4 linked regions of the Elephas maximus indicus genome follow. The protein of the gene in region 4 binds, or shares a complex with, the protein of the main gene of each other region. Links are inferred from orthologs where the notes say so. Each region holds a gene or a part of one and is shown on either strand. Other genes may lie near its edges.

The links.
Region 1: INTS7 (region 4) and INTS6 share a complex: the UniProt entries of both Homo sapiens proteins name them as parts of the integrator complex. The link is inferred for Elephas maximus indicus from reciprocal best matches to the Homo sapiens genes INTS7 and INTS6.
Region 2: INTS7 (region 4) and INTS9 share a complex: the UniProt entries of both Homo sapiens proteins name them as parts of the integrator complex. The link is inferred for Elephas maximus indicus from reciprocal best matches to the Homo sapiens genes INTS7 and INTS9.
Region 3: INTS7 (region 4) and INTS12 share a complex: the UniProt entries of both Homo sapiens proteins name them as parts of the integrator complex. The link is inferred for Elephas maximus indicus from reciprocal best matches to the Homo sapiens genes INTS7 and INTS12.

The regions. Positions count from the first base shown.
Region 1 is NC_064832.1:26,247,031-26,254,108, forward strand, and holds the start of INTS6 (integrator complex subunit 6), read left to right. Parts: upstream 1-4,077; 5' UTR 4,078-4,591; coding exon 4,592-4,702; exon of another isoform or gene 4,703-4,837; intron 4,838-4,882; exon of another isoform or gene 4,883-4,952; intron 4,953-5,128; coding exon 5,129-5,206; intron 5,207-6,026; coding exon 6,027-6,176; intron 6,177-7,078. UniProt on the Homo sapiens protein: Component of the integrator complex, a multiprotein complex that terminates RNA polymerase II (Pol II) transcription in the promoter-proximal region of genes.
Region 2 is NC_064840.1:43,557,962-43,565,982, forward strand, and holds the start of INTS9 (integrator complex subunit 9), read left to right. Parts: upstream 1-5,004; 5' UTR 5,005-5,148; coding exon 5,149-5,157; intron 5,158-8,021. UniProt on the Homo sapiens protein: Component of the integrator complex, a multiprotein complex that terminates RNA polymerase II (Pol II) transcription in the promoter-proximal region of genes.
Region 3 is NC_064823.1:46,026,107-46,033,226, forward strand, and holds the start of INTS12 (integrator complex subunit 12), read left to right. Parts: upstream 1-4,109; 5' UTR 4,110-4,265; coding exon 4,266-4,283; intron 4,284-6,980; coding exon 6,981-7,120. UniProt on the Homo sapiens protein: Component of the integrator complex, a multiprotein complex that terminates RNA polymerase II (Pol II) transcription in the promoter-proximal region of genes.
Region 4 is NC_064842.1:638,396-645,628, reverse strand, and holds the start of INTS7 (integrator complex subunit 7), read left to right. Parts: upstream 1-4,232; 5' UTR 4,233-4,384; coding exon 4,385-4,478; intron 4,479-7,233. Other genes in the region: DTL (denticleless protein homolog), read right to left, coding at 3,882-3,933. UniProt on the Homo sapiens protein: Component of the integrator complex, a multiprotein complex that terminates RNA polymerase II (Pol II) transcription in the promoter-proximal region of genes.

The sequences.
Region 1 (7,078 bases), on a different chromosome or scaffold from region 4:
CTCAGATGAAATACTTGGCTTGCGCTTAGTGGTCACATTTTAGAAAAATTCTGTATTTTTATATTTCCAGAATCACAGAGACTGAGTGAAAAAGAGATTCGTGGCTCTCATCTTGTGCTCACTCCAGGGCCTAAGGAGAGGAGATGGTGGGAATCTCTGGCACTGTTTAAATTCTTTTTCTCTTTTTATTTTTTGCCAAACAAATATAGTTGAATTCAAGTAATTTAAATAAGCATATGAAACATTTATAATTTCTTTCCTTTAGCTTCCAGACTTGTTTATTTTAGGAGTTCTTTTAATAAAGGCAACAAATTTAAGGGTGTGTGAGTTTTTCAGTTATTTATTGAGTGTCTACTAGATGCCAGGCACGTAATTATTCTTATATTTTAAGCATGTAGTTTTCAATCAGTATTCTTTATAAGATTGACCTGAAGAGCTCTTTAAAAGTAGGATGACCAGGGTTTACCCAAATTCTACTGAATCGCTTTCCTCAGGGATGAGGATCTGGTACATTTTTTTTTAAAGCTCTTTGGGTGATAATGATGTGCATCTCATGACCAAAAAAACACAACTTTCTGCCATAATCAACCAATAGCCTGTCAACCAGTGAGCACTAAGAATAAACTTGGCTATTTCACAATTTTGTCTAGAGAGGTTGTCAATGTTTCCTTGTTTCTGATTGCCTCTTCATTTGCAGCATATATTTGCCCTGATTTCTTTCCTGTTCTGTGCCTTCTATTACTTCTTAGGTTCTGACTGGAAATCTACCTTTGATCTCAGGCTTCATTGTAACATAGGTTCTGGTTATATACTCCAGGTTGGGCTCACTGGGCTTGGCTTCCTGGTCTTTGCATCTGACCCTGATCAGTATGACAATCAGCCAACCCTACTGAGTCAGGGAAGAAAGAGCCATGATGGCTCAGTTGGAAAATGATTTCAAATAACTATATAATATAGTTAATTATATATGCTAATGTATTTCAAAGGAGCTGGGGTGGCACAAGTGGTTTGAGATTGGCTAGTAACCTAAGAGTTGGCAGTTTGAACCTACCCAGCACCTTCGCATAAGAAAAGACCTGCCTATCTGCTTCTGAGATTTTGTTGCTGTTAGGTCTTACAGCCAAGGACACTCTACGGAGCAGTTCTACTCTTAACACGTGAGGTTGCCGTGAATGAGTGGCGGACTCTGCGGCAGCTAATAACAGTTTGGTTGCTTTCAAACACTGCTTTGTACTTAGCACTATAACTAAAAACTCTCATTTATAAGAAAAAAAATCCCGTAGTCTGGAATAAAGGCTCTTATTGTCTAGTCCTGACCAACCTTTCTGAATCTTGTGCTATTCTTCTTGTGTCTGGTGCTCCAGCCTGGCTAAACGTCACTGTCCCCACGAAGCCATCAGCAATGCTGTCCTGCCTTCCTTTCTTTCCTATGGTTTCAATGTCTGGAAGGGTTTTCTTTTTTTTTTTTTACCAGCAGCTTCCCCTTCCTCTACTCATATATCCCAAATCCTACCGATCCCTTAAAGCAGTGTTTCTCAAACCTATATACAAAATACTGAATATTGTAACTGCCCCCACATGGCTTCCCAGGCTGAAATCTTTACAGGTAGGTCTTTTCTCCCACAAAGTAGCTGGTAGGTTCCAATATCCCATTTTTTGGTTAGCAATTGAGTGCTTTAACCATTGTGCTGCCAGGGCTTCTTGAATAATGTATTAATGCAATGTAAATTCTTATGATCCTATAAAAAAATAACAAAAATACAAACTAAACCCGTTGCCATCATGTCAATTCCAGCTCATAGTGACCCATAAGACAGAGCAGAACTGCCTCATAGGGTTTCCAAGGAGTGGCTGGTGGATTATAAATCCCGGACATTTTGGATAGCAGACAAGCTCTTAACCACTGCACCACCAAGCCTCTCTTATGAGGATACAATTTGAGACAGGCAGGGAGGGATCTGCAGACTTTGAAAACACTGATAATAGAAACTACAGACCTATACTCTGAATATGTCCATCATTCTGAAAGAAAAATTGTCTTTATAACTGGCCGCGTAATTTATATATTGTCATAAAAAATGAAAACAAAAATTTGAAAGTATCATAGAACATAATTCTTATCTCTGGGTCTAGGATTCCAGTTTCAGAAATACTTCTTTATGTTGCACCTTAAACATACTGACCCTAGGAAATGTTCTTTCATCACCACAATATATATTTCTTTTCTCTGAATTACTTAGTATCTAGTCACTTTATGCCTTATGTATGTCATCTTTTTCTAGAAAACCATAAACTCTGTGAAGGCAGGGACCATATTTTATTTATTTCTTATCTTCTCCATACTAAGACCATAAGGTCACATTGAGTCAGAATAGACTCGAAGGCATCGAGTTTATACTAGGATCAAACTTGATTAACTTTTTATCTCCAGCACACCTAGTACAAGGTAGGTCCTCAGCAAATATTGGCTATAGGGCCTGTATTCCATCTTCTTCCTATTTCACAGTTCAAATCTCAAAAATATGACACCTCTTCCATGGTACATAATCACAGAGCAGCATTATTACTGAAAAAGCTCTAACATAAATGAACAGATTTCTGAAGCTGTCGTAAAGATTAGGAAAAGCCCAATTTATAAAACTTAATTTTTTTAAAAGTGCCACATAGCATCTCTTCTGTGGTTAACAATATCAACAATTTCTCTAAATGAGCAGTAAGCAAATAAGAATTTCGGAATAGAATTAAAAAATTCAGGCAATGCAAGGCTAGTAGGAAAGGCCCGATTAATAGCTACATTTTAGAAGGTCCTATGTCCCCAATCCAACTTGCATTTAAGACAGTGTCTTCAGTGTTTCAACTCGTGTCTTGGAGGACACTATCCCTCGGACATTTAGGAGAAGCTTCATTACCTCAGGTAGGATGAGAGAGACTCGCGTTAGAACTTCTTCCCTCTACGGTATTTGGGTCAAGCGTGAGAGGGCACCATATTGAAAGAGCACTAGCAGGGTTATGGGAACCCATTTTGTGTTATCCCGGCAAGCCAAAGGCAATTTTTTCACGTGTAAAATATTGGTAATGCATTACGGTCGTTGGGGTCCTTTTCAATTCTGATATGCAGATTTTGCTATTTATTCTACGGCCCAACGTAAACGCGGCTTGTGCAATGTAATTCTGGGGGTAGGCCCAGTTATTCTTCTCCCGAGTAAAAAGGGGAACTACGGAAATCGGAATCTTCTCCCAGGGTTTTTCGGGGTTGGGTTAGGAGAGAGGGTTTGTTGCCCTTCTGAGGGGTCCTCAACAAGACGGAGCCCGGCCTGCCCCGGCTCCAGCCCTCGCCCTCGGTCGCTCCCCAGGCCGAGGGAGGCTCCGCGCGAGGTTCGGGCCCTCGTCCCCACTCCCCAGCGGGAGCGGTGTGACTCGCGGAGATCAGTCCCTGGTCATAAACAACCTCTCACTTCCCCTCCCCCGCTCCGGACCCGCCCGCGCTGGGGCCGGCCCTCCCGGTCCAAGGAACCTCCTCCGGCGACCGCGGACCCGAGCCACCTCGGGGGGGCGACCGCGGGTCCGACGCTTGTGCTCATCGGGTGTCCGGGCACTTTACTCATCCTCTCCTCACTCGCCCCCCGGGGAAGGGGTTCACTACAACGACCTCGGAGGGCAGCTGAAGCCAGCCTGCATCTCCCTTTCCCCGACCCCTAACACCTCCAAGAGCCAAGGGCAGGCCGGCGCCCTGACGCGCAAGAGCGCGGCGGCCCTGCGCGCGCCGACGCGGCCCCCTCCCCCACCTCGCGGCCCTTCCGCGGTCCGTCCCCGCCCCTTCCCGGAGCCCGCCTCCGCGTCGGCCCGCCCGCCTGCTCGCCCCTCGCGCGCGTACCCGACGCCCCGCCTCCGCGCGTGCTCAATAACTGTCCCCAGAGCCGGCCTAGGAACTTCCCCCGCCCCTGAGCTGTTTAAATATGCTAATGAAAGGTTAGGGGCTAGCCAATAAAACAGCGGGGCGGTGCATCACGTGGCTCGGGGACGTGTCAGGGGGCGGAGCCTCTGCAGCCCCTGCCCGAGTTAAAACCGGAGTGTGAGAGAGAAAAGCGCTTCAGTAGCGAGAGGGGCCGAGAAAGTGGTGACACCGCTGGGGTGCAGAGGGAGTCCCTGAAACTTCTCCCAACAGCCCCAGGGCCAATCTCCCCTCAGCCCACTCCCCCCTTCGCCAGCTCCCAGGTCCCCACTCCCTGCACCGGGGGTGGGGTGGGGAGCCAGGCCCGTCTCCCGCTGGGACACACACAGGGGCCGGGAGCGGGGACGGGACCCCCGAGGTAGGGGGGACGGACCGACAAACAGACGGCCGGGAGCCCGGCCCAGCGGGCAGGCAGGCAGGAGGAGGCGGAGGCGGGGGTACGACGGGGAGGACTGGGTCTGGGGAGTTTCCTCTTAACTATCGGGGGAGAAACTCCCCGCAGCCGGAGGAAAGACCCAGACGGTGTTTTCCTCCCGGGGGCCGCGCTCCCCGCCCCGCGTAGCGGCGGTCGCCGCCACCGGCGCCGACACCTACCGTCTTCCTCCACCACCTCGGGCCCCGGTGTCCCCGGCCAGCACTATGCCCATCTTACTGTTCCTGATAGACACGTCTGCCTCTATGAACCAGCGCAGCCATCTGGGCACCACCTACCTGGACACGGCCAAAGGCGCGGTAGAGACCTTCATGAAGGTACCGACTGACCGAGCCCGGGCGGCGACCCCGGCCCGGCGGTCCGCGGGCGGCAGGGGTGGGGGAGGGCGGCTGGGGGCGGCGAGGCGGAGGTGTCGGGGACCTGACTGCGGGAGCTGCCGGCCTCGGGGACCCCCTCCCCCACCGCGCGGGCGGGCGGGCGGCGGGCGGCGGGCGGCGGGCGGGCGCTGCGAGCCGGGCTCGGCCCGGGAGCCGGCTGCGGCCCCGGACCCGGTTGCGGCCCCGGGCGGTGTGTGGGGACCGATCTGTGTGTGGGGGGCGACGTGGAGGGGTGGCCGCTGCGTGTGCGGTACTGTGGGGGGGCGGCGGGGCCGCTCGACGCCCCTTCTCCGCCCGTAACCTCGCCTCTGTGCTTCCCTCTCGCCCGCCCTGTTCCTCTCCCCGTCCCCCGTCCGCTCTCCGCAGCTCCGTGCCCGGGATCCCGCCAGCAGAGGAGACAGGTACATGCTGGTCACTTTCGAAGAGCCGCCCTATGCTATCAAGGTAACAGCCCTCGCCCTCCCCCCTTCCCTTCCCTTCCCGGTTCCTTCCTCGCTCGCCCTCCCCGCCCCCCGTCCACCCTTCATTATGCTCCCCTCCCCCACCCGCCGCTCTCCCGGCCCCGAGGCTTCTTCCCCTGAGGGCTCCCACCCCCTCCCCCGCTCTGGATCGTCCCGGCGCGGCGCGGAGTCGCCAGGCCATCGCCGTCCCCTCCCGGGCCCGGCCCGCGGCGGCGGCGGCGGCGGCGGCGCTGCGATCAACATGGCCGACATTTCCCCTCCGCGGCGTGAGCGGCAGCAATGAACTGTGGGGGATATTTATTCAAGTTAGCCGGAGTGACAGCCGGGCCGGCGGCGCAGCCCCGTCCGCATGAAAGGGGGCTCGGCCCGGGGCTCGGCCGCGCCGGCTCGCCCGGGGCTCGGGCTGGGGCGTGGGGGAGCGGGGGTCTGCGGCGCTGGGGCTCTGGATGGCTCCTGAGAGGGCCACAGGCTAGTGGGACAGCTGTAGGCTGACTTCAGAAGTCCAGTTTCCTCTGCTCTGCGCTGCTGCCTTCACATCCTGAAATTTGGGGTGTGAGAGAGTCAGCTCCCCAGTAAAGTTGTGAAGTGTGGCAGCTGGTAATGACCAGAAGCTATAGAGCAAGAAGGTTTATTCTGGCGAGCTTTGGAGGGGAGTTTCCTCAGCAGTGACACACAACAAACAAGTTAACCATGTTGTACTGTAAAGTGAAGCAGCTACTTGGCGAGCATCAGATTATAACGGCTGCCCGTGTGTGCATGGCTTTGAAAGATGAAAAAAAAAATTCTTACATTTTTCTTTTCAGGCTGGATGGAAAGAAAACCATGCAACGTTTATGAATGAACTGAAAAACCTTCAGGCTGAAGGACTTACGACTCTTGGCCAATCCCTAAGGACAGCTTTTGATTTATTAAATTTAAATAGATTAGTAACTGGCATAGACAACTATGGGCAGGTAGGTTGAATATTAAGGTGGAAAAATAGCTGATTTTTCTTTTTGTGGAAAAACACATTCCAGTCCTAAACCTATATGTAAAATATAAGTATGAAACATTTCAGATTAAAAGAAAATATATGCACGTAACACAAATGTGAAACCCTCAACATACTCAGTATAGTTTTGTATCCCTCATATTTTTGCTTAAAACGCACTTGAATTCAGAATTAGAGCCAGAATCCTTTGCTAAAAATTGAGTTGTCGTGAATGTGGTTTTAATCCCTTGAAATTCATTTGGTACATTAAAGTGGAAACCTCCTGCCTCACCATACTCAGTAACGAACCGCTGCAGGCGAATGTGCAGCCACTGCAGTGGCCTACAGACACCAGCTGGTCAGTGGTCCCCATTTCTGTATCAGTCAGGACAAATATTAGGAAACTGTTCTCTGTGTTGCATCAGGGTGTAATTTAACCATATTGTTTAACTATTCTGAAAGCTCAGATTTTCATTGGGGTGCAATACCTGGTTGAGTACATTAAGATTTCTCAGTTTTTCAAGCATACACAATTAGCAACTATTGAAGGAGATTTTTTTTTTTTTATTATAAACCCTTGGAAAAGAGGCTGTCTGGAAAATAATGAAAGAACCCACTCTTAACCCCTAAAGCCCTCTATTGCACCTGCAGCTCGTCTGTTTAAGGATGAGACAAGACTTCCATGCAGCTTTAAATCACATGGTGGTTCACTGTGGAATAATGCAAGGTGGTCCATTATAACTTTTTAACGAGATCACTGGCCTGGAAAATAAAAGATACTGAAGAATATGTAATGTGACACATAACAAAGGGCTGTTAAACCCAGTGAGTTTCCTGTGTCGTAGTGAAGAGCACTGTCACCACCATGGTATACTTAGATGTACA
Region 2 (8,021 bases), on a different chromosome or scaffold from region 4:
TTGTATGTTGCTATGATGTTAAACAGACTGCCACAGAGCTTCCAGACTGAGAGACTAGGAAGAAAGGCCTGGTGATCTACTTCTAAAAATCTGCCAGTGAAAATCCTGTGGATCCCAATGGCCTGATCCTGTTGTACATAGCGCTGCCTTAAATTAGGGCCTGACACATAGAAGTGAACAAGTCCAACAAGGGCCAGTTGTATTTACTTAGGACTCTTAAGTCACATATCACTTAAGATACTATTTTAAGAAAAAAATCTCAATACCAGTAGCCTCTATTTTGAAATAACATATTTTGCTTCCATTATTTTGGCATTGAGAATGATACTGAAAATCTCCATAGTTTCTATAATGTGGACAGCATGTGGGTGGTTAGCCTTCGGTTTCTAGCTTGAGCAACTGTTCAGTCTCCTGCCGTTTGTGGTTCGGATTCTTTTTTACCAGCTGCATGTCTGATCGATGTATACCAACTTCATATGTAAACATAAAGGTGTTTTATATATGTGTGTGTGCATGCATGAGTGTACACGAGACACTCTAGACAAGCTGTACTTTCCACTTATAACAATTTTTTTATAAATCAAAGCTCTACTAAAGTGAGACGTAAAAGCCAAAAAAACCAAAACCATTGCCGTCGAAGTCGATTCCGACAAGTGACCCTGTCAGAGAGAGTACAACTGCCCCATAAGGTTTCCAAGGAGTGCCTGGTGCATTCCAAATGCCGACCTTTCGGTTATCAGCGGTAGCTCTTAACCACTAAGCCATCAGGGTTTCCAAAAGCCAACAGCTAACAAAAACCTAGTCAAACAAAAGCAAGGTGAGCTACAAAATTAATTTTGAAAGCCAAAAAAAGTAAAACAGGTTCACAAAACGCACAGAAAACCAATACATTTTCACTCAGCACTTTTAAATTTCTATATAAATTTTCACATTTTTGAAAACTGGTTGGTATACTGACAAATGAATTTTTGAAAAATGACATCCAAGGATAAATTTTTAATTCCCAAGAGAAAAAATTCAAGTTTATAGATCTGCTTACAAAAATAATAGAAGCAAAAGCTGCAATGAAATAAACAGAAAAAGCAAACATGCTTTTATGGGAAATGCTAGCTCTCTGAAATATTAAAAGTAGGATGAACTAAAATAAGGAATACTCAAAATGACAAGTTAAGCATGAGTATTCCGATGTATGGAAACCCTGGTGGCATAGGGATTAAGTACTACGGTTGCTAACTAAGAGGTCGGCAGTTCCAATCTACCAGGCGCTCCCTGGAAACTCTGTAGGGCAGTTCTACTCTGTCCTATAGGGTCACTATGAGTTGGAATCGACTCAACAGCAGTGGGTTTTGGGGTTTTTTTGTTTTTTCTTTTTTTTTGGTTTATTCCGATGTATTAAAAAACTACTGAAATAAACAATTTCATTCCAATCAAAACTTGCCAAACACTATGAAACAATGCAAGATTTATTGCAATATATTTTATAACCTACCAATACTGTGCTATTAAGTTTGTATTAGTGATGTAGGCTAATAATAGAAGACTGAAATTTGTTTCTGCAGCAGTGAAAATGACTCCTTAATGAAGACATTCAACATAAAACTTACCCTAACAGCTTTTTGATGCACATTTGCAACCAGAAATAGTTGCATAAATACATGCGGTACACTAACGTAGCAACAGATTGGGTTAAAAACAGTTCGGATTTTCAATTCCCCATAATATAGGCAACATTTTTAGAAGTGATCACGTGAAAATAAAATGTGTCTTTCACAGTTATGGGATGAAATTTTAAGCTGGTCAGGCACCAATGCCCTGATTTTCTACTTTTGTAAACCATATGACTTCCACATGCTGAGAATGTTTTAAGCTTTAACCTGCAGTAAAAGCTTTATATCATCTTAATGCCCAGTGCTTAAAATGCAATGGAATCACTCCAGCGAATGCAAGGAATATATCTAGTTTGCATTTAATGATGTCAACCAGAGTACTAGTGAGAATAAGTTTCATGAAAGTTTTTCCCGTAACTTTGCATTTCCAAAGAATAAAAACAAAAAGAATAAATCCAACAAAAAATTGCTAAGCTAACGGTAGGTGGAAGAGAAAACATTCTTATATTTTTCTGACTCTTAACAAGCATTTGAGGTATTTTTCTAAAATAATTATTAAACATTTTAAAACTCTATGACTACCAGAATATCTTCGAGCAAAGAAAAAACAACAAAAAAAAAAACACTCTATTATACAGTTATATAGGATTTCTCTTCAGTTTTTGCAAAGTAATGTTTCACATTAAGATCCAAGGTTAAAACAGATAATTCTGGAAATCCTATCTATACCAAACTAAAGTCTCAGCTTTGCATCAACATATACTATAAATTCGAGATTTAAAAAATATCAATTTTTTTTGTCAGGTCCATCAGCTTAACTGCATGAATGACCAACTGCAGAAATTTCAAATCAAAGGTTATAAAACATCCCATAAAATTACATACTGTATCTGTGTGGAGTTCAGTTTTTATAGAATCTAGGGTCTCTTATGATAGGTGGCAGTTTTAAGAATCAGTAAGTTTGGGGTCATATGTAAATGTATTAAATTCTCAACAGTCTAAATAGAAATTATTACAATTCCTTTGGTTATTGAAAAGCCCATTACACTAAAAAATAGTCACATAAGAAGGCATACTAAAGAACTTCTATTTCAAATGGAAATACAAAATAAACGCTCTTAAATTCTCCTTTTGTAGTGTTATTGAATATAAAAGACTGAGAAACAAGAGATGTTGCAATCCTCTTCCCTTCACAGCTCTAAACGAAACTAACAAAAAATCAGAATTCAAATTTTTCAGAATTCAAAATTTCCAAACTTGATTTATAAACATAATTCAACTACATCTAACAACTTAGTTGCTCAATTTAAAAATAAGTTTAACGCAAAGCACTGCAATCCTTACGTGGCAATTACCTGTGGCATAAATGCAAAATAAAAACAAATGCAAAATCTTTTCATCTAGTGATGCCTCTTACAGTATAAACAACAAAAAAGCACAACCATATTGGCACAAACTAAATAAAAAGGCTCAGGAGGCATTATGTCCATCCAAATGCCAGGGAAGAAAGGAAGGAGTTTCTACACCTGCAGGATTCCATGGAAATAAACTGGTCACATCACTCTACCCTATGTGATACATGAGGGTTTTAAAGCTATTTTAAGGTAAATAAAAACAGCAATTACTTCATATCATTCAACTTCACATAGTACGGTATCTTCAAGGCCAACTGCATTCTTTCCTTCACTCACTCTTCCACACCAGCTTTCAGGCAAATGCGAGGCAGAATAGGGTGGGGTAGAAGAAAAATACAAGCAGCGCCTTTCAGCTGCCCCCCAAATAATTTCCAATAGCTTTTCCTGCCACGAAAATAAGTCGCCCTATCTCAAGATACACAACAATCATTCTGTATCTTCAGTAGACACGCACAGACACATACACAATTCAGCACTCCGTATGCCCACCCCACGCCCCAAAATCTTAATTATTAATATATTTAACACGAAGGCGGCGAGACACCTCTACCTACTGTTTCGGGGTGAGGGTGGGTGGAGGACTCCTTTCAAAGTAGCCCCAAGAGTGTAACCAAAACACGGTTCCGGAATAAAATATTAAGAACACTTTTCCTTTCCCACCTAGCTACTGACTTAAGTATGCAAAAATCCATCTCCAAACCACATCATCTCTACAATTCTCCTGCCGGGAGTTTGGGGTGGAGATGCGTCCAGAGGAGGGGGCGGAGACGGGGAAGAGGAGTGTGAGCGGGCAATCCTACACAAACGAGTTGCTAACCCCAGCTACCCAGCACCACGTCGTCAGCCAAACGTCCAGGAGCAGGACCTCACACACGCTACTCAGCCCAGGCCCCGTTAAAAGCTATGTTTCTAGCTATCTAACTTCTTATCTTTAGACATTTATGCAATACAAATATATCACACAAGTACCCGTAACACAGTTTAAACCACAGTAATACAAACCAACACACCTCAAAATCACGTCAGTTTCCCAAACTCCAAACAGAAGACCCCCCCCCCAACTCCCGGATTCAAACCTTCCGCCCACCGTGGCGGTAACAAGGAAAAAAGAGTTGGGGAGAAGCCGACGCCTTTCAATTAATGCACCCTATAAACTGCCCCACCCCATATCCTGCGTCCAGGTCAATTACTCGGAAGCCCCTGCTTTCTCCCTCCTCTCAAACCGGCCGCTTAAGAGACCCTTCCCCATCCCACTCACTTTCTCCCCAAAGCCTCTGGGGGAAAATTTTAAAAGTAAAGAGAAACAAGTGAGGGAAGAGACTTGAAGTAGTCCGGTTTCAAACTGCTCGACTCACCTCAGAATCCTCGCTGAGTTCTCTCCGCCCGGCACAGCCCCCTCCCCAACGTCCCAGTACGAAAAGCTGAGATAGGAAGGAGAAAGCGGGAGGGGGAGGGGTGTCTTCCGCGTGGGGAGCCCGGCGGGTGGGGGCTGGGGAGGGTTTGAGGCCCGCACAGGAAGAGGAAAGGGAGGAGGGGAGGCCGGTATCTCCCAGTCTCCCCGTGAAAACCTCCCTTGCCTCAATCACATCAGACTGACTGTCTTTGTCTGGCTGACAACCGCCATATTGATATCAACAGCCCCGCTCCCACCTGCTGCCGCCGGGCAGCCCTGGGAGTTGTAGTTCCTGCCTCCCTTGAGTAAAAGCTTGGGACTCCGCATCTAGACACCTCGGAGAACTACAGCTCCCGGCAAGTCCCGCATCCATTAGCCGGCCCACAGGGAGGAGGAGAAAGGGGAATCCAGACCCACCGGGACTACACCTCCCAGAAAACTATGTGTCCCAGGCCCATATGGGGGACAAGATATCATGATGGGGTGAAGAGGGAGGATGAAGAGACGGCGAGGATGACGGAAGAAGGAGTTCAGGGAAAAAAAGAAAATATGACCACAGTTCCCATGATGCATCTAGGGATGACTACATTTCCCATGATTCCTGGGGCGTGGGATGGTGGGAGACGGCCTGTCCCGTAATGCTCTGTGCAGGTTGGTGGCGGAGATTGAACCGGAAGACGCATTCTGGGTCTGAGGAGTCGAGTGATTGCTGTTGAACAGCCTGAAGTCCAATATGAAACTGGTGAGTTTCCACTCCTAGGTCAGAGGGCAAAGGTGATACCATATCCTTTTGGACTTCGTGGTTTCCACCTTGCGAAAGGAACCGTCGCGGAGGAGGGATGGCTTTTTCGGAACAGGAATATGGGGTAGACTAGGGAAATCTGCTTTTTGTAGTCGAGTAGGTCGGAATCCTCACCCTTATCCACTCCACCATGCCCCTTAAAACAGCACGGAGAACTTTTTCACTCATTGTCAGGTCAGATAAGAGGTTGACTGTCTCATTTCTTCACCTGTGAGCTAGGATTGGAGCATAGTCACCTATGACTTCTGAGCTTCCACGTGAGTATTATAATAGGCACACTGGTTGATACATGTTTAGCTCTTCTCCCTGCTGAAGCGAGTAGAAGATACTAGGCAGAACGTAATCACTTATTAAGTTTCCTGTTATAGTTTAATTATAATTGCCCTTTGAATTCAGAGAAGGAAATCAGCGTGTGATCTTGCAGGATTTGAGTTTTAAACCCTGTATAGGATTTGGATGGGCAGAGAGGAAGTGTCAAGACATTCCGGTCTAGGGCTGTAGAGATTGCATGAACAAAGGTTAGGTGGAAAATGCTAGTATACCTAGAGAAATCCTTGAATCACAGAGCTCCAGTAGCTTCTCAGATCTTTATTTTCACTCTTTACTTTTATTGTGAGTTAATTCCAACCCTATTGAATTAGTAATAGCACAATTAGAATAGGAAGGTAGCTGTGAAACACTGCTTCTCAATCTTAAAATCCTGCAACCAAGTTGTCAAGCTTCATCCATTGCCATCAAGTCGATTCTGACTCATAGCAACTCTATAGGACAGAGTAGAACTGCCTCATAGGGTTTCCAAGGCTGTAATCTTTATGGAAGCAAACTGCCACATCTTTTTCCCGCAGAGCAGCTGGTGGGTTCAAACTGCTGATTCTTTCTGTTAGCAACGGAGCACTTAACCACTGTGCCGTCAGGGCTCCTTTGTCAAGCTTTACTTTCTGTAATTTCTATACAAAAACAAATGGTTTGTTTTTCCTTTTATATAACTATTTGAGTATGCTTTTCGAAAGTACATAGCACCCATTTGATAATCATGCTACAGGCATACGCTCTGCAAAGTGGCAACTGTTTGCAGGGTGGAAGTCAGAGAAGGTATTAAAAGTAGATTCAACTCCAAAACTGTCTCCATTTAAAGCTGTTTATGTAAATTATTGTTAATACTATTGTTGCAGGACTGTCTATACTATAGTAGTTATGGTAGTTGCCCTTTATTCGCACGCTCATCTCAGTGTCCCCTTTTGCTTTGGTCACGTTCTGCTGAGTTTTCCCATATTATATATTGCTTTTCCCTTCACCAGTGTTAAGTCGTTCCTACTATATCTTTCCATCTACTACCTCTTTGGTAATTTTTCCTCCCTCCCTCTACCATCCCTGGTAACCATAAAAGAACCTACCTTCCTTCCTTCCTCCCTCCTTCCCTCCTTCCCTCCCCTCCTCCCTTTCATCCTTCCTTCCTTCCTTTTCCTTTCCTTTTTTCTGTGTGTAAGCCTTTTCTTCTTTATAAAATCAGTATCAAACAATATTTGTCTTTTTACGATTGACTTATTTTACTCACTGTATGGTGTGAGGTATGGATCCTGTTTCATTTTTCTACAGATACATATCCAGTTTTGCCAGTACCATTTGTTGAAGAGACCGTCTGTTTCCCATTCAATAACCTTTGGTCTTTTGTCGAAGATGAGCTGTCTATAGGTGGATGAATTTACTTCTCCGTTCTCAATTCTGTTCCATTGGTCTATGTTGTTGTCCCAGCACCAGGCTGTTTCAACTACCATAGCTGTATAGTAGGTTCTGAAATTAGGTAATGTGAGATCTCCCACTTTGTTCTTCTTTTGAAAAGCTTTATTATTCAGGGTCTCTTTCCATTCTGTATAAAGCTAGTGATTAGTTTTTCCATCTCACTGAAGAATGCTGTTGGGAATTGGATCAGGATTGCATTATATCTGTATATCGCTTTGTGTAGCATTGACATTTTCACAACGTTTACTCTTCCTATCCAAGAGGCATGGTGTATTTTTCCATTTATGTAGGTCTCTTTTGTTTTCTTGCAGTAGTGTTTTGTAGTTTTCTTTGTAGATGTCTTTATGTCCCTGGTTAGATTTATTCGTAAGTATTTTATCTTTTGGCGGGGGTTATTATAAATGGTATTGTTTTCCTGATTTCGTTTTCAAAGTTCTCTTTGTTGATGTAGAGGAATCTAACTGATTTTTGTATGTTGGTCTTTTATCCTACCACTTTGCTGAATCTTTCTATTAGTTCCAGTAGCTTTCTTGTGAAATCTTTAGGATTTTCTATGTATAGGATCATAAAACCAAAAATCAAACCTGTTGCAGTCGAGTCAATTCCGACTCATAGCGACCCTATCGGACAAAGTAGAACTGCCCCATATCGTTTCCATGGAGTGCCTGGTGGATTCGAACTGCCCACCTTTTGGTTAGCAGCCGTAGCTCTTAACCACTTATGCTACCAGGGTTTCCTGTATAGGATCATATTATCTGCCAATAGGGATAGTTTTACTTATCCCTTACTGATTTGGAGGTTTATTTCGTTTTCTCACTTTATTGCTAGGACTTCCAATACAGTGTTGAATAAGAGTGGTGATAAAGGATACCCTTTACTGGTTCCCATTCTCAAGGGGAATGCTTTCAGATTCTCCCTGTTGAGAATAATGTGGGTTGTTGATTTTGTATAAATTCCCTTTATTATGTTGAGGAATTTCCCTTCTATTTCTATTTTATTGAGAGTTTTTATCAGGAATGGCTGTTGGATTTTATCAAATGCCTTTTATGTGTCAATTGAGATGA
Region 3 (7,120 bases), on a different chromosome or scaffold from region 4:
GTTTACTCGTATATAAAATGAGTATAACACTATCTACCATACAGTGCCTTGTGAGAACAGTATCTGTGACATAGGAAGCCCTTAGTAAGTATTCATTATTGTTATAGTTGTTGTGCCATCTACTCAATTTTCGAATCATAGTGACCCCATGTGACAGAGTAGAAAACTCCATCACTATTATTATTTATTTATCCCCAAATTCCTAATCCATTAACACTATTAAAAAAAAAAAAAAACTTTTGATGGACAAAACCCAAACTATGCTTTTTATATTTCCAAACTTCTTCCCAGGAGAGGTAAGGATTCATGTTGAACTAAGAGGGTCATTTTTCAAATATGGGGGGGGGCGGGAAGTGTTCTCAGGTTAAAACCCAGGGAGTCACAAATGGTAGAATATAAAAGTGAAACCCTTAGTCTGCACATACTTTTTTATTATACAAAATAAATAGTTTGACACAGTTTACAAGTATAAAGATTTTATAAGTTAATTTTTCCTACAGATTAAAATTTAAATTTAAACTGGTTTAAATTCCCTCCTATATCAAGCTCTCAGCATTATCAATGTAAGAACTTAACCTGTGTTTTATACATTCCACAAAATGACACTAATTATTTGGTTGCAGAATCCCATTCATTCTTACAATACAGATTGAAAAAAAAAAACAAAACCTTGTCCCTAGAGATATACGTAGCAGCAAATTACTTTAAACATTAAAAGTTGAAAAAGGAAAAAAAAATGAGTTTCTTCAGAGCTCATTACATTATGTAACGTGAGGACAGTTAAGTCCTCAAGAACAAAATCCTATGATTAAATTAGATGTTTTCTCATGTGGAAAAGAAGTATTAAAGAAAAAAGTTTAAAAGTAAAAAGCTTACAGTAACCTTAGCCATAAGGGAAGTGTGTCAGCTTCTCACTGGAGAATCAGGGGATCATGTTACCATGGTATCATAATGCTTGCCACTCAGCCCGACCTCATAACTAAGAGATCCACACTGTGAATGCTAACATGTTTGAAGCATCAGCAGGACTGAAATAAAATTACTAAATTCCCACAACAAGCAATACTGGTGCCTGTTTTGATCTAAAAGCTTTAAATCCCTGCATTCCAAGTGTTAATCATAACAGAATTCATTAGGCTGCTTCGAATGCTTGAGGATAAAAAACAACATATATGCAGGGAACTATATACCACAATATATACAAGGCACTGGGTTTTTTTTTTTTTTTTCTTTTTTATATACCACAAACATTTCCGTTGCCTAGCCCCATAATTTGTTAGTGTCAAGGTCTGTTAAATCTTTGCTGTTAGGAAGGCCAACTGGATACACAGGATTTATACTTATTTCAAACTGCAGGTGAAGATGCAAAAGCTACCAAGTAAAAACTTAATGGGAACACTACATGGAGTAGAAGTGTAAAGAAAACAAAAGCAATGATCAAACAACTCTCAAATCTTGATATTTTAACTTATTTTTGAAGTTAGACATCTTAAAGTGATACTTTTGAGTATAACTCAACACAATTGGAAGTAACAAGTATGCTAAAAGCAATACTTAGTGTATGTACCCCATCAAAGTTTAAAAAGCAAAAAAAAAACCTCACAGCTTAATGCTTGATTTATTAAATATGACAGCAAAGCACTCAGTTATTGTGTTTTAACAAAGAATTTATTTTCACAATATTTAAATGATGTTCACGTTTTAAACTGTCATGTATCTAGTTCTTGCCAGCTTTTGCATTTTCTCCTGTCAACAGTTTCTATTGAAAACCTTAGGAAAAAAAATTAGAACACTACTCTCTTTATTAATAATTTAACCCAAGATATATTATTAAATGCTGGCAATCCCTTGGTATTCAAGAACAAGGGATGGGATCATGGCACTAAGGGATCATGGCATTAACGGATCCTAGCATTAAGAATAAAGGGGGAAAAAAAAAGTCACCTAATTCCAAAACTAGGTAGAAAATTGAGATGGGAAATATTTGTACTTTGATGCTAAAAAAATTTTTTTTTAAGTTCACGCAAGTTAAAACCAAGCTTTCTATCTTAGTTAAAAAAAAGAAGAAGAACACCGTTTTGACGGTGTAACATAAGCAAATGGCCCAAAATGAGGCAAGTCCTTTGGAGCAACGGTTAAGTAGTATTCACATACCACTGCTTTCTCCAATCAGGAAGGGCTGAAATGGAAAACCAAGTGTCAAAGAGAAAAAGTTAAAGCGTGATCTCAAAAGCCTTGAAACTACACTTAAAAGCAAACGCTCAGAGACCTCATACAGCTTCTACAATTGGAAGCTGCTCCTTTTCCCCACCAGCAGAAACCATGGGACCAGGGAAAACTTGGAAATGCCTAAAACTGAGAAGGGGCCCGAAGCCCTCCGCCCGTACACCCAGGACCCGTGTCTAAAGACGCCAAGACGGCCGTGGGGCTGGAGAAAAATCGGGACACTGATTCCACGCCCTCACCCTTCCCGCCCTTCCCACGCATCCTCAGCCCTGTCGACCCCCGACGCCAAGAGCAGTCATTGAAGGGTCGCGGGGGCTGGGGAGCCGGTGGCCCGAGCGCCCTCTTTACCTGGTCGCAGAGGCGGCCAGGCAGGGAGGGTGCGTGAGCGTGCCGGCGACGCGGGCTGCCTGCGCCTTCCCGTCCCGCCCCAGCCGAGATTCGGAGGCCGCTTCTGGGAGCCGCCTCCCGCGAACCACTAGCTTCCACAAGGGCCCAGAAAGAAACAGCAGGCCACGCGTCTGGGCAATACCGGCGTTAGCCGTCATTCATAATCCAGCGGACCGGAAGAATGGGTGCGTCACTTCCTGCTGTCGCACCGTCAAAACGTCCCCCCCTCGGCCCTGCTGCAGGAACTTTCTTTTCCGGCTCTCAGAGTCGGCTGGCGCCGGGACCGGTTCCGAAGGAGCTACCAGGAACGGACGGAGCTGCTGGGCGGAACGGTGAGTTGTGACGACCGACCTCACTCCCACCCACCTGTGGGAGGCTCGAGACCCTCGCGAGGGTTGAGGTGGGAGAGTAGCACTGTGGGTTTTTAATTTCCCTCCTCCTGACAAGGAAAACCTCGTGATTTGCCGGCAGTCGCATGCCCCAAGCCCACCGTTCTGCCTTTTCAAGGAGACTGTGCTTTCTCCGAGTGTGTTGTGAGCTGGGGCATGCGGACTGAGGACTCGAACCCAAGGACTAGGTCCTTGGAACCCTATCTCGGACCTTTCTCAGGTTTTGACGACCCTCCGTACATCGCCCTCATTTCGTCTCTCTTCTTCTTGGCTCCCTGTCAAGGACCTGCCCCCGTCCTAGGCCTTTGGTGTATCATACTTTGGGCAAAGGACTGGCATCCCTTTTCTAAGTGTCTGCTGTTGCTTTACCAGCTCCTGTCCCATCTGGTAGGTTTGGAATCAGGGCCTTACCGCCTGCCCTGCTTTTCCAGATGTGACCCTTAGGTATCATTGTGACCCAGGACTGAGAACTCAGTGGAGGAATGAAAAACATAGCATCTTTTGAAGGATGTTTTTGAAAAAGGTTGCAAGAGATGGCAAAGACATGAATGGCAAAGGCTTCTAGTGCTGTTTTGAGATGGCAACCATAATACTGCACTCGGCATGAATAGGTTCAGTTTCCTTCATCTGGTGCACATTCAGAAAGCAACTTTGGAACTTCTTTTGGGATGAGGCAGGTAGGCTGAGAAACAGGATCTAGAGGAAAAGCATATATGTACATTTTATATTTATGCATGGATACCTAGTTTTGATTGGAGAAATCACAGAAGCCCTAAAAAAAAAAAAAGTGACGTTTATGTAAAAACTTAATTCATTTGTTTAATAAATATTTTTGAGCACCTGTGAAGCTCCAAGCACTAGGGATGCTGCTAACTGAACTAAACAAGTACCTGCCCTCACAGAGCTTATAGTCTAGCAGGATTAATGAATTTAGACCAGGTGAAGGATGGGAACAAGAGTTTTGCTGTCAGGAACATTGTACAAATCCTCAGTAATGAAAGAGGTATTGATTTGTTTTGATGCTTGGTTTTTTTTTTTTTTTTTTATTGTTTGGAGGGGGTTTGGGTTTAGGTTGCATTTTTTGTTCCATTTTGCTGGAGAGGTGTTGGAAATGGTTAGATTTGTGTTAACAGTGTGACAAGAACATTATACTTTCATCTCTTTATTCAGTAAATGTCAGTGAAAAGATGCCAGTTGAAAGAGACTGAAACGAAGATGGAGTAAATAATCCATATCTCAAGGTTACAAAGAGGGCATGAAGAGATGGGATCCAGAACAAAGGTGACATTACATGGAGAGGTGGGGAGGAGGGACCTTCTCTTTTTTATCAAGTAGGGAAGAGGAAAAGGTGGGTGCAGGTACAAGTTGAAGAGGCTGATCACTATGGATGCTAAAATTGTCGAAGATGATGGAAGAGGAAGAGGAGCCTGGTGCAAATGTTCTATACAAGCGTAGATTTTAAGAGAAGATGTTGCTAAATGGTGGTCATGGAATATTTTTCTGAAAGCAGCAATATAAAGACTCTGTAGACCTCTTTTTTCTCTTGTGAGAAGAAACAAGTCAAAGAAACTATTGGAGAAGGTTGCAAGGGAGGTGGTGTCATCGTGGGGGGATAGTAAAGGAGTGCTTGAGGAAAAAGTAGAAAATGTAAGGGACTATGTTAGGAATAGTGCAAGGGCTAGAAGCTGATGGGTAGCTAGCAATGACATTAGTGTGGAGAGGAGGATGAAGGGTTGTACAGAATGAGTATTGGAGGGACTTGCAAGGGGAAGGTAGTTTGTACCTTAAAGCAGCCATTATGTATAATAGAGAAAGTGAAACTGTAAGTTGCTAGATAGGCTAGAGTAGTGACTACCAAACCTTTCTCATAACTTACTCCATGTAAAAAATGTGAGCACTCTTCCATATTTATATATTTACATTTACTACTACCACTTTGTATATTAATTTTTTTGAATAAAAAATTAAATATAGATAAAAGTTCTAATATTTTCTCCCTGTATGCCACTGTGGAGACCATTAGGCTAGCGGGATATGTTATTGGTTTAGGATGGGGTACACGGCCAGTTTTCTAACTCCAGGATTGCATAAAAAGAACTAACACCGAGGTTCCAGTTGGAATGTTGGTAGTAATGCGTGACTTCTGTAGACTTGTAATCTAGGTGCATGACTCTAGACACCTACACTGTACCATAAAGCTTTTATCTGTGACTGTAGAAAAGCCTAACAATAAATCTTTTGCTTTAGTTTTTTTAGCATAGAAATTTCGAGTAATGGTTGTTCTAGTGTATACCAGGATTCTTCTAGGTACCAACCTTTTGGTCAGTACTTCATGAGAGAGGTTGTTGTGAATAAGTAAACTACTGTCCCTTTCAGCTATATAAAGTAAGTCAGTAGAAAGACCAGGCTCTGTCCCCTGTTACACACCGGAGGATTGGCAGGTTTACCCTTTTTAATCATGGAAATTTTATCGAGGAGCTGTTTTCTTCTCAGAACATGTTTGGTGACCAGCCTTATGAGTAAATTTAAAAATAAGTTTTCTGTGTCTATCATATATATAGATAGTATGCATAATAATACAATCTTAAGAAGTGACAGAGTTTGCTTTTCAATTTTTTTTTAAACTCTTTCTAATACAACTGTTTGAGATAAGGTTATTTTCTTTCTAGTAGCGGCCTTTGAACTCCTTTTCATGGGTGATTCAGGGGCAATTTGGGGGCAGTAGGGTATCAAATACCATCACTGAAACTTGAAAAATAAAATAAAAGAAGCTTAGGAGAGTGTGTATTTGTGTGTGTTGTGTTTCCTGTCAAACTTGGAGACAGATGAAGGGGGAAGTAAGTGGGGGAAGGAACAAATAAAATCCATTTTCAGGCTGAGCTTTCCTATGCCAAGATTCAACCTAGAGGAAGTTTTAATGGCTTTATAAACCCCTGAAAATGGGAGATTACTGTGGAATTGCTGACAGATCCTCAGCTGTAGCAGTGCAAGTGTGTTGCATTATTATAATATTAACCTCAAGGATACAAGACGGATTTCAAATCCTGGTATATTGATCAAAGGGTGGAACACAAAGAATACATTTTGATTTTAATAATTCCTTGCCTGGGGAGGTGTTTGAAAAAATGACAGCCAGAAGTAGAACCACATGATAGCATTGGTATTAACTGAAAACAAAACTTTTTAATGTTTCGGAATTTCCTAAGCCTTTGTTGTATATCTTCATCTGCCTTGGCTATTCTTTAGGCTCCTTAGGACACAGGGCATTATCATAGGCCCTGTGGGGTGTATATACTTTTTTTTAATAGACATGGCACCATCCTCTAAAGACCTAGTTTTTTAAAACAGGTTAATGCATGAAATACTACAATCTAAATGTGATCAAATAAGGCTATCATTAGTATGTTTTCTGAGACATTTAAGATTGGGGCTGAGTATTAGGGAGGCAGAAAAAAAAAGTTAAAAAGGTAATTTAGGTAAATGCTGCAGCAGTGGTCTCTGTAGCTCAGAACTTAAGGCATCCTCTGACCATTGCCCTGCGGTGACACTGCCTCCCCCACATTCACACAATAAATCTTTGCTTTTGTCATGGAAATAAGATTTGGGAGAAGAAATTTTAATACATAGTAAACTTGACCTAAACACATCAAGTTCATGTATACTGAAACTGAAGTGTATCTTTTAAAGCAGAGATAGGAAGGGACCTTTGTGGCAAGGAGGAACTAACCTGGATTTAAAATTTCACCATGGATATAAACTGAAAACGCTGGTTGTTTCAGGGGAAAAGAACTAAATAATGCCTGTCAGGAAGAAGAAGAAAACCTACTTTTATCTGTAATAACCTTTGGGTTCTTTTGAATTTTGTACCGGATGCAGTATTACCTATTATAAACAAAAGAACCAAATAAAATATTGACATAGGTAATTGAGCATTGTCTTTAAATTACTTCCCTTTTCTCTCCCCCTACCCCTTTGCAGGTGTTTGCAATGGCTGCTGCTGTGAATTTGGAACTTGATCCAATTTTTTTGAAAGCCCTAGGCTTCTTACATTCAAAGAGTAAGGATTCTGCTGAAAAGCTAAAAGCACTCCTTGATGAATCCTTGGCTCGGGGCATTGA
Region 4 (7,233 bases):
CGCACTCAAGCATAACGGCGATTGTGAGGATGGTGCTGGATCGGGCAGCGTTTCATTCTGTTACGCGTAGGGTTGGTACGAGAGTCAGAGCCGACTCCCCAGCAACTAACACAGAACACACCTCAGTACTGGCTGTCATGGATTGAAACACGTCCCCCAAAAACATGTGTGTCAACTGGGCTAGGCCATGACTCCCAGTACTGTGTGGTTGTCCTCCATTTTTTGATTGTAATTTTATGTTGAGAGGATTAGCGTGGGATTATAACACCACCCTTACTCAGGTCACCTTCCTGATCCAAGGTAAAGGGAGTTTCCCTGGGGTGGGGCCTGTACCACCTTTTATCTCTCAAGAGATAAAAGGAAAGGGAAGCAAGCACAAAGCTGGGGACCTCATGCCACCAAGAAAGCAGCACCAGGAGCAGAGGACATCCTTTGGACACGGGCTCCCTGCGCCTGAGAAGCTCCTCGATCAGGGGAGGATTGAAGACAAGGACCTTCCTGCAGAGCCAATAGAGAGAGAAAGCCCCTGGAGCCAATGCCCTGATTTGGACTTGTAACCTACTAAACTGTGAGGAAATAAATCTCTCTTTGTTAAAGCCATCCACTTGTCATATTTGTTATGGCGGCACAAGATGACTAAGACACTTGCTTTTTTATTTTGTTTTATTTTGAGTGGTCAGCCATTGTGGCCTCTTGAGTCCCCCAACTTTAAATGTCTGAAGGCTTCTGGTCTCCCTGGGAGTTGGCTGAGATGCAGAGGCAGCCAGGGCTTACCTGTACATGCACTTAAAGACCAGTTCAGTAAAAGCACACAACTTAAAGAAAACACTCTTGAATTAAATTCTCTATAAGCACATGCATTTCAGTACTCCTTTGGCTACGTGACTACATAAATCCCCTTCCTCGTAAGTCTTTCTAGCTTACGGGTTCCTTGGTAAACTGATGAATAGAATAAAATTCTTGACATGTGTCTCCTATATTTTGCATTAAGAACCCTGTTTTTAACTTTTTTGAAAATTACTCCTTGATGGGTGTATTACAGGGATCTTCACAGAAGTGACGTTTTACCTGGACTGGTTCCCCCATCTGATTCCCTGTCTTTCAGGACCTCTTCCCTGAACCCCCTGAGTAGGATGGGGGCCTTTAGTAGAACAGTAGTGTTCCCCCAAAATGCCTCAGGCAAAATTTCCTCTATCATTGCTTATGATATTGTTTTTTAAAAGTATGTGTGTTATTTCTGCATTCTGTCTCTTAGAACTTGTTTTTAATTACATAAGTAATGTATGAATGCATTCTACAGGCAGTCCCCTGTTGTTCATAGGGTCGTTACAGGTCAGAACCGACTTAAAGGCTCCTAACAACAACAGATACATTTAAAAAGGGATATAACATTTTAATTTTAAATGTCAGTATTCACAATATCAAAATTTATATTTTTTGTATCTGTTTAAACTTAAGATAAAAAATTTTGATACCAATTTAAAAATGCACAGGAGTGATCAGATTTCCATTCTTGAAAATATTTCTGGCAGCAATCTGGAGAATAAACTGGAGGGGGGAAACTAAAAGGCCACTTGGGAGACGTAAGAGTCCAGATAAGACGGTATTAGGGCCCAACTCAGGGAAATACCGTGGTAAGGAAAGAACAGGTCTAAGATGGAGCGAAGAGGCAGAATCGATGGTGATAGAGAAGACAGGACAGAGTCCAGAGGCTTCACAGAATCTTTTTGAATGTATATAGTAAAGATAGAGGAGTCTTGGATGATTTCAAAGTTTCTGGCTAGGAAGACTGGTTTAAAATAATGAGCCCAATCCCTAAATTAGGTAATACAGCAGGTTTTGGGGAAAACAGTTCAGTTTTGGGCATCTGAGTTTGAGATGATCATGGAACCAAATATCTGGGTGAAGATGTCCACACAGCTTTTATAGGAATGGGTCTAAAGCATAGGGGAGGGAAACTGTAGCAGTGGAAGAGGCCCTGGTTATGACACTGAGCATCTAATAGAGTAAGTGGAAGAAGAAAACGAGCCAAGGATGGAACACTAACACTGAAGGGGTAAGGAAAACAAGACAGTCCTGTAAATTTCAGTGTTTAACGTATAGCAGGAGTCCCTGGGTGGTGCAGTTAACGCGCTTGGCTGCTAATCAAAAGGCTGGTGGTTCGAGCCCACCCAGAGGTGCTTTTGAAAAAAGGCCTGGCGATCTACTTTCAAAAAAGCAGCCGTTAAAACCCTATGGAGCACAGTTCTATTCTGACACACATGGGGTTGCCATGAGGCAGAATCGACCATTCAGCCAGCAACTGGTGGTTAACAGGTAGCAATGAATGAATTCTTGTGAATTGGAGAAAGAAAGGGAGAGGAAGAAGTAGACAGATAGACTGGAGAATTAGGAGAATATTTGTGGCAAGATAGAGGGGCTTGCCTCAGGTCACACAGATAGCAAGGAGAGGAGCTGGAATTAAAACTCAGTCTAACTCCAAAGACAGAGCTCTTCATCACTGTGCTGCCCTACCTACCGATCGTGACACAGAGGTCAGAGAAATTTCTCATGTAAGGTCCTAGGAGAGATAGTAAGCAGGGAATTTAGAAAACAGCCAAAAAAAAATATTTAAGAGGGAAGTTAGTAGGGATGGTATGTAGTGTTAGACTGGTAGCGGGAAGCTGAGGGGCTGCTCCTCAGTCTCCCTCCCAACATCCTTTTCCTAGACCTTCCTCTTAAATACAGAAAGTTCCCTTCTCAGGTTCTTTCCTTTTCGTTTTCCACAGAGTTTCAAGGGGAAGGAAGACCTTCCAGTGTAGTCAACATTAAAATATGTGACATTTAATTTGTCTAAGTCTAGCCTAGGTAGCAACTCCCTTATCAGTTTAAGTTTCATACAGAAAGTTTTAGACACCGAACTCCAAGTTCAAAACTCTTGCTGACAATGTTTTATAAGGAATCGAAAGAGCTGTAGAGAATAAGTTGGATTTCTACATAATATGGAAAGACATCCAAGTTATACCGTTAAAATGAAAAACAAAACATTTTTATCTCATTTCCGTAAATAACAATACATATTACCACTGGCATAAAAAAACACCCAAAATACTATACTTCAACCATCAACAGTGGTCCTCTCTGGGGGATGTTCTGATTACGGAGATCTTTCATTCTATAATTTCGAGTTTTTATGAACATGTAATAATCAGGAAAAAAAAAAAAAAAGACAACTTTTGACCTTCTAGAAGCACATGGTCTAACTTTTCTGCTTGAGCAAGTTCCTTAGCAGCGCGTCCCACTCATTCGTGGATCATCTAGACATCGGTTCTAGGACCAATGGATGAGTTAACGCACACGCGCCGCGCACGTTGTCCAACGCCAGCACCTCAGTTAACGCTGCACACAGCTGTGGGGGGCGCCGCGCACGTTGTCCAACGCCAGCACCTCAGTTAACGCTGCACACAGCTGTGGGGGGCGCCGCGCACGTTGTCCAACGCCAGCACCTCAGTTAACGCTGCACACAGCTGTGGGGGGCGCCGCGCACGTTGTCCAACGCCAGCACCTCAGTTAACGCTGCACACAGCTGTGGGGGGCGCCGCGCACGTTGTCCAACGCCAGCACCTCAGTTAACGCTGCACACAGCTGTGGGGGGCGCCGCGCACGTTGTCCAACGCCAGCACCTCAGTTAACGCGCGCCACAGGCGCGAGGCCGTAAAGCGCCCCGGGGGTCAGTCAGTTAGCTCCCCGCCCCTCCGGCCCGCCCCGAGGCGCTGAAAGCACCTTTCCTCAGCAGCCCGCGCGAAGGCTCTGCTGGCGCCGCGGGACACTCGCCGGGCCCGGGTGTCGTGTTTCGGGGAGGTGACCCCCAGCCACGAGCGGCGGTTAGGACCGTTACTCACCATTTCTCGGGACGCCAAGCTGGGGCTGGCGGAGCACCAAACTGAAGAGCATCTGGGCCAGAGGAAGACGCGCAGTTGAAGAAAAGGCTCTGAAATGCCCTAGGTCCCGCAGAAACCGCAGCCTGCACCCCAAGAACAAGACCAGGCGCTGCCTTCCACTCCCGCCACTGCAGGCTCCAGCCACCAAACTCCGCGCCAAACTGACGTCACGCTCTCTGATTGGCTCCCGCCGTGGCGTCATGGCGCCGCAGAGTCACTTCCCCCTCCGGAGCCCCGCCTCCTCTTCGCCGGTCCGCGGGAACCCAGAATTCAAGAGCCCCTTGAGCGCCTGCGCGGGGGGTCGAAGAGGCGCTGGCGAACCGGGGGATGGCCAGGGCGCATGCGTAACACGGCTTGCCAGCGCGCGGAGGGAAAATCCGCGAGAAGGCGGTGAAGGAAGATGGCGGGGTTGGGGCAGGGTTTGCGGCCTTTCTGAATAGGCTAGTCAAGTAACTATTCAGGTCATGGCGTCAAACTCAACTAAGTCTTTCCTGGCAGATGCCGGCTATGGCGAACAGGAGCTAGATGCGAACTCCGCCCTTATGGAACTGGACAAAGGTATGGGAAGGAGAGGGGGAGCCGGCTGAACGCATGAGAGGGAAGTGGCGCCCCCAGGTGGCGGGAGCCTCGGGAGAGGCGGCGGGAGCGCGTGAGAGGGCAGTGGCGCCCCCAGGTGGCGGGAGCCTCGGGAGAGGCGGCGGGAGCGCGTGAGAGGGCAGTGGCGCCCCCAGGTGGCGGGAGCCTCGGGAGAGGCGGCGGGAGCGCGTGAGAGGGAAGTGGCGCCCCCAGGTGGCGGGAGCCTCGGGAGAGGCGGCGGGAGCGCGTGAGAGGGAAGTGGCGCCCCCAGGTGGCGGGAGCCTCGGGAGAGGCGGCGGGAGCGCGTGAGAGGGCAGTGGCGCCCCCAGGTGGCGGGAGCCTCGGGAGAGGCGGCGGGAGCGCGTGAGAGGGAAGTGGCGCCCCCAGGTGGCGGGAGCCTCGGGAGAGGCGGCGGGAGCGCGTGAGAGGGCAGTGGCGCCCCCAGGTGGCGGGAGCCTCGGGAGAGGCGGCGGGAGCGCGTGAGAGGGAAGTGGCGCCCCCAGGTGGCGGGAGCCTCGGGAGAGGCGGCGGGAGCGCGTGAGAGGGAAGTGGCGCCCCCAGGTGGCGGGAGCCTCGGGAGAGGCGGCGGGAGCGCGTGAGAGGGAAGTGGCGCCCCCAGGTGGCGGGAGCCTCGGGAGAGGCGGCGGGAGCGCGTGAGAGGGAAGTGGCGCCCCCAGGTGGCGGGAGCCTCGGGAGAGGCGGCGGGAGCGCGTGAGAGGGAAGTGGCGCCCCCAGGTGGCGGGAGCCTCGGGAGAGGCGGCGGGAGCGCGTGAGAGGGAAGTGGCGCCCCCAGGTGGCGGGAGCCTCGGGAGAGGCGGCGGGAGCGCGTGAGAGGGAAGTGGCGCCCCCAGGTGGCGGGAGCCTCGGGAGAGGCGGCGGGAGCGGGCCGGGGTGGCCGAGGGCTTCGGCGGCTGGTGGGAACCAGAGGAAGGCTGCAGGGTCGCCCTGTTGGCCTTGACCGCATAGCTGGCTGTCTTACCGGCGAGCTCTCGTCATGGGCATTTTGGCCACTTGAGGGGACGATCCCCTGGTTTTCCAAGCACTGAAAATGGCTCGTTTCTAAAAATGCTAAGGTGAAATTATTTTTTGATATGTTCAGTTGAGCCCAGGTTTTCATGAAGGGTGCCGAAGAATAATCTTGCGCCAGCGCTGTGAAGATTGAGTGGGTCTCCGTAACTCCTTGCTGCGTGCGGGATGCCACGCAGCTTAAACTCGGGAAGGCTTGGTCTCCCCCGTCCCCGCAAACGGGCTCCCCGAGCCGTTTCCTAGGCGACCGGGCGGGGGCGGGCTTCCTAGGGTGGAAGGAGGAGCTTTGGGTGCCCTGAGTTCAAGTTCAGTGCTGCAGGCTTCATCGTCACGGACAGGTACCTTACTTCACCTAGCCTCGGTTTATCGGCGTGGGAAGGGGGTGCAGGTACTAATGAGAAACTTGTTCCACTGCACTTGAGGAATTTTTATTGTGTAGGAAAAGCATATTTTGCAGCTGATACAGTTAATTCTTGATTATCCGCAGCCAGTGTGTAATGTACTGAGAATTGGACCGTGAGTCAGAAGGATCTGCCTGTAAGTCCCCTCTGAGCCGACTTGGACATGTCTATTAACTTCTTTGGAACTCCTTTTTTGATTTTCTTTTCTTGTTTTGCTTGTTCTTTAACCTGTAAACATTTTTAGTAGGTTGACTAGATAAGAGTTTCTCACACTTTTTTTCTCTTTTGGCATTTACCTCCTTTTTATCAATATAAAAACGTCACAACGCCCCAATGGACTGTTCCTTTGCTTGAGTCTCAGTATCTTTATCCATCTTCTCTAGCCAAGAAAATGTTTAGCTTTGCTTTCGATTACCAAAGCTATAAGTCTTTCCCCTGAAATATTAAATTGTAATATTAAACATGTTTTTTAAACACTACACAGTCTTTCCCTCTCCATCCTGATAGGCTTTTCTCCCTTATTCCCCAGTGTGAGTTGTGGGTCTTGTGCTGTCTGATACACAGCTGGCCTTGTCCCATGCTGACAGCAGGACAGTGTTTGTACAGCCGGGATCAGGATGGGGCACTGAAGAAATGAGAAATCTAGAATTATTTAATTTCTGAAAATTTGCAGTTGTGGTAGAAATAACAACTAAATTTTCTCTTAAAGAACAGTTGAAATAGGAATACTTTAGGTCAGTAAGGAATAAGTGGATGGCTACTGACTGTTCAGCTGGAAACCAGATGTCAGCCCTCGATCCTTAGTGTTTATGTTCAGTTCTCCCAGCAGTGCCCTGGGGAGTATTGTACAGATGAATCTCAGACTCAGAAAGATAACTTGTCCAAGATAAGTACAAAACTCTTGTTCTTTTTCACCTCACCATGCTGTACCTTTGAAAGCTGTTAGAAAATTAAACTGCAGAAATAGTTTCATTAGACTATATAGTATTTTAAATATTGAATCATTTCGTTTTTTACCTATTAACAATGTTTTATGTTTTGTGAGCCAAAGGTCATAGTCAGAAGGCTACAAGTTCCAACTTTTTGTTTTCCAGAATGTAGTCCGAGGAATACTGTTTATGAAGTATTTAAAAATCCCTGTCTCTCTCTCTCTCTAACACACGTGCACACACACACATCTTATTTGATCAGCAGTTAACAAATGAAGATCAGTAGACTCATTTTTACATATGACTGAGTGCTATATCTTGTGACTTACAAAGGGAATTATTAAGCATTTCTAAGAGTTGGTATTCACAGGCTGAAATTAG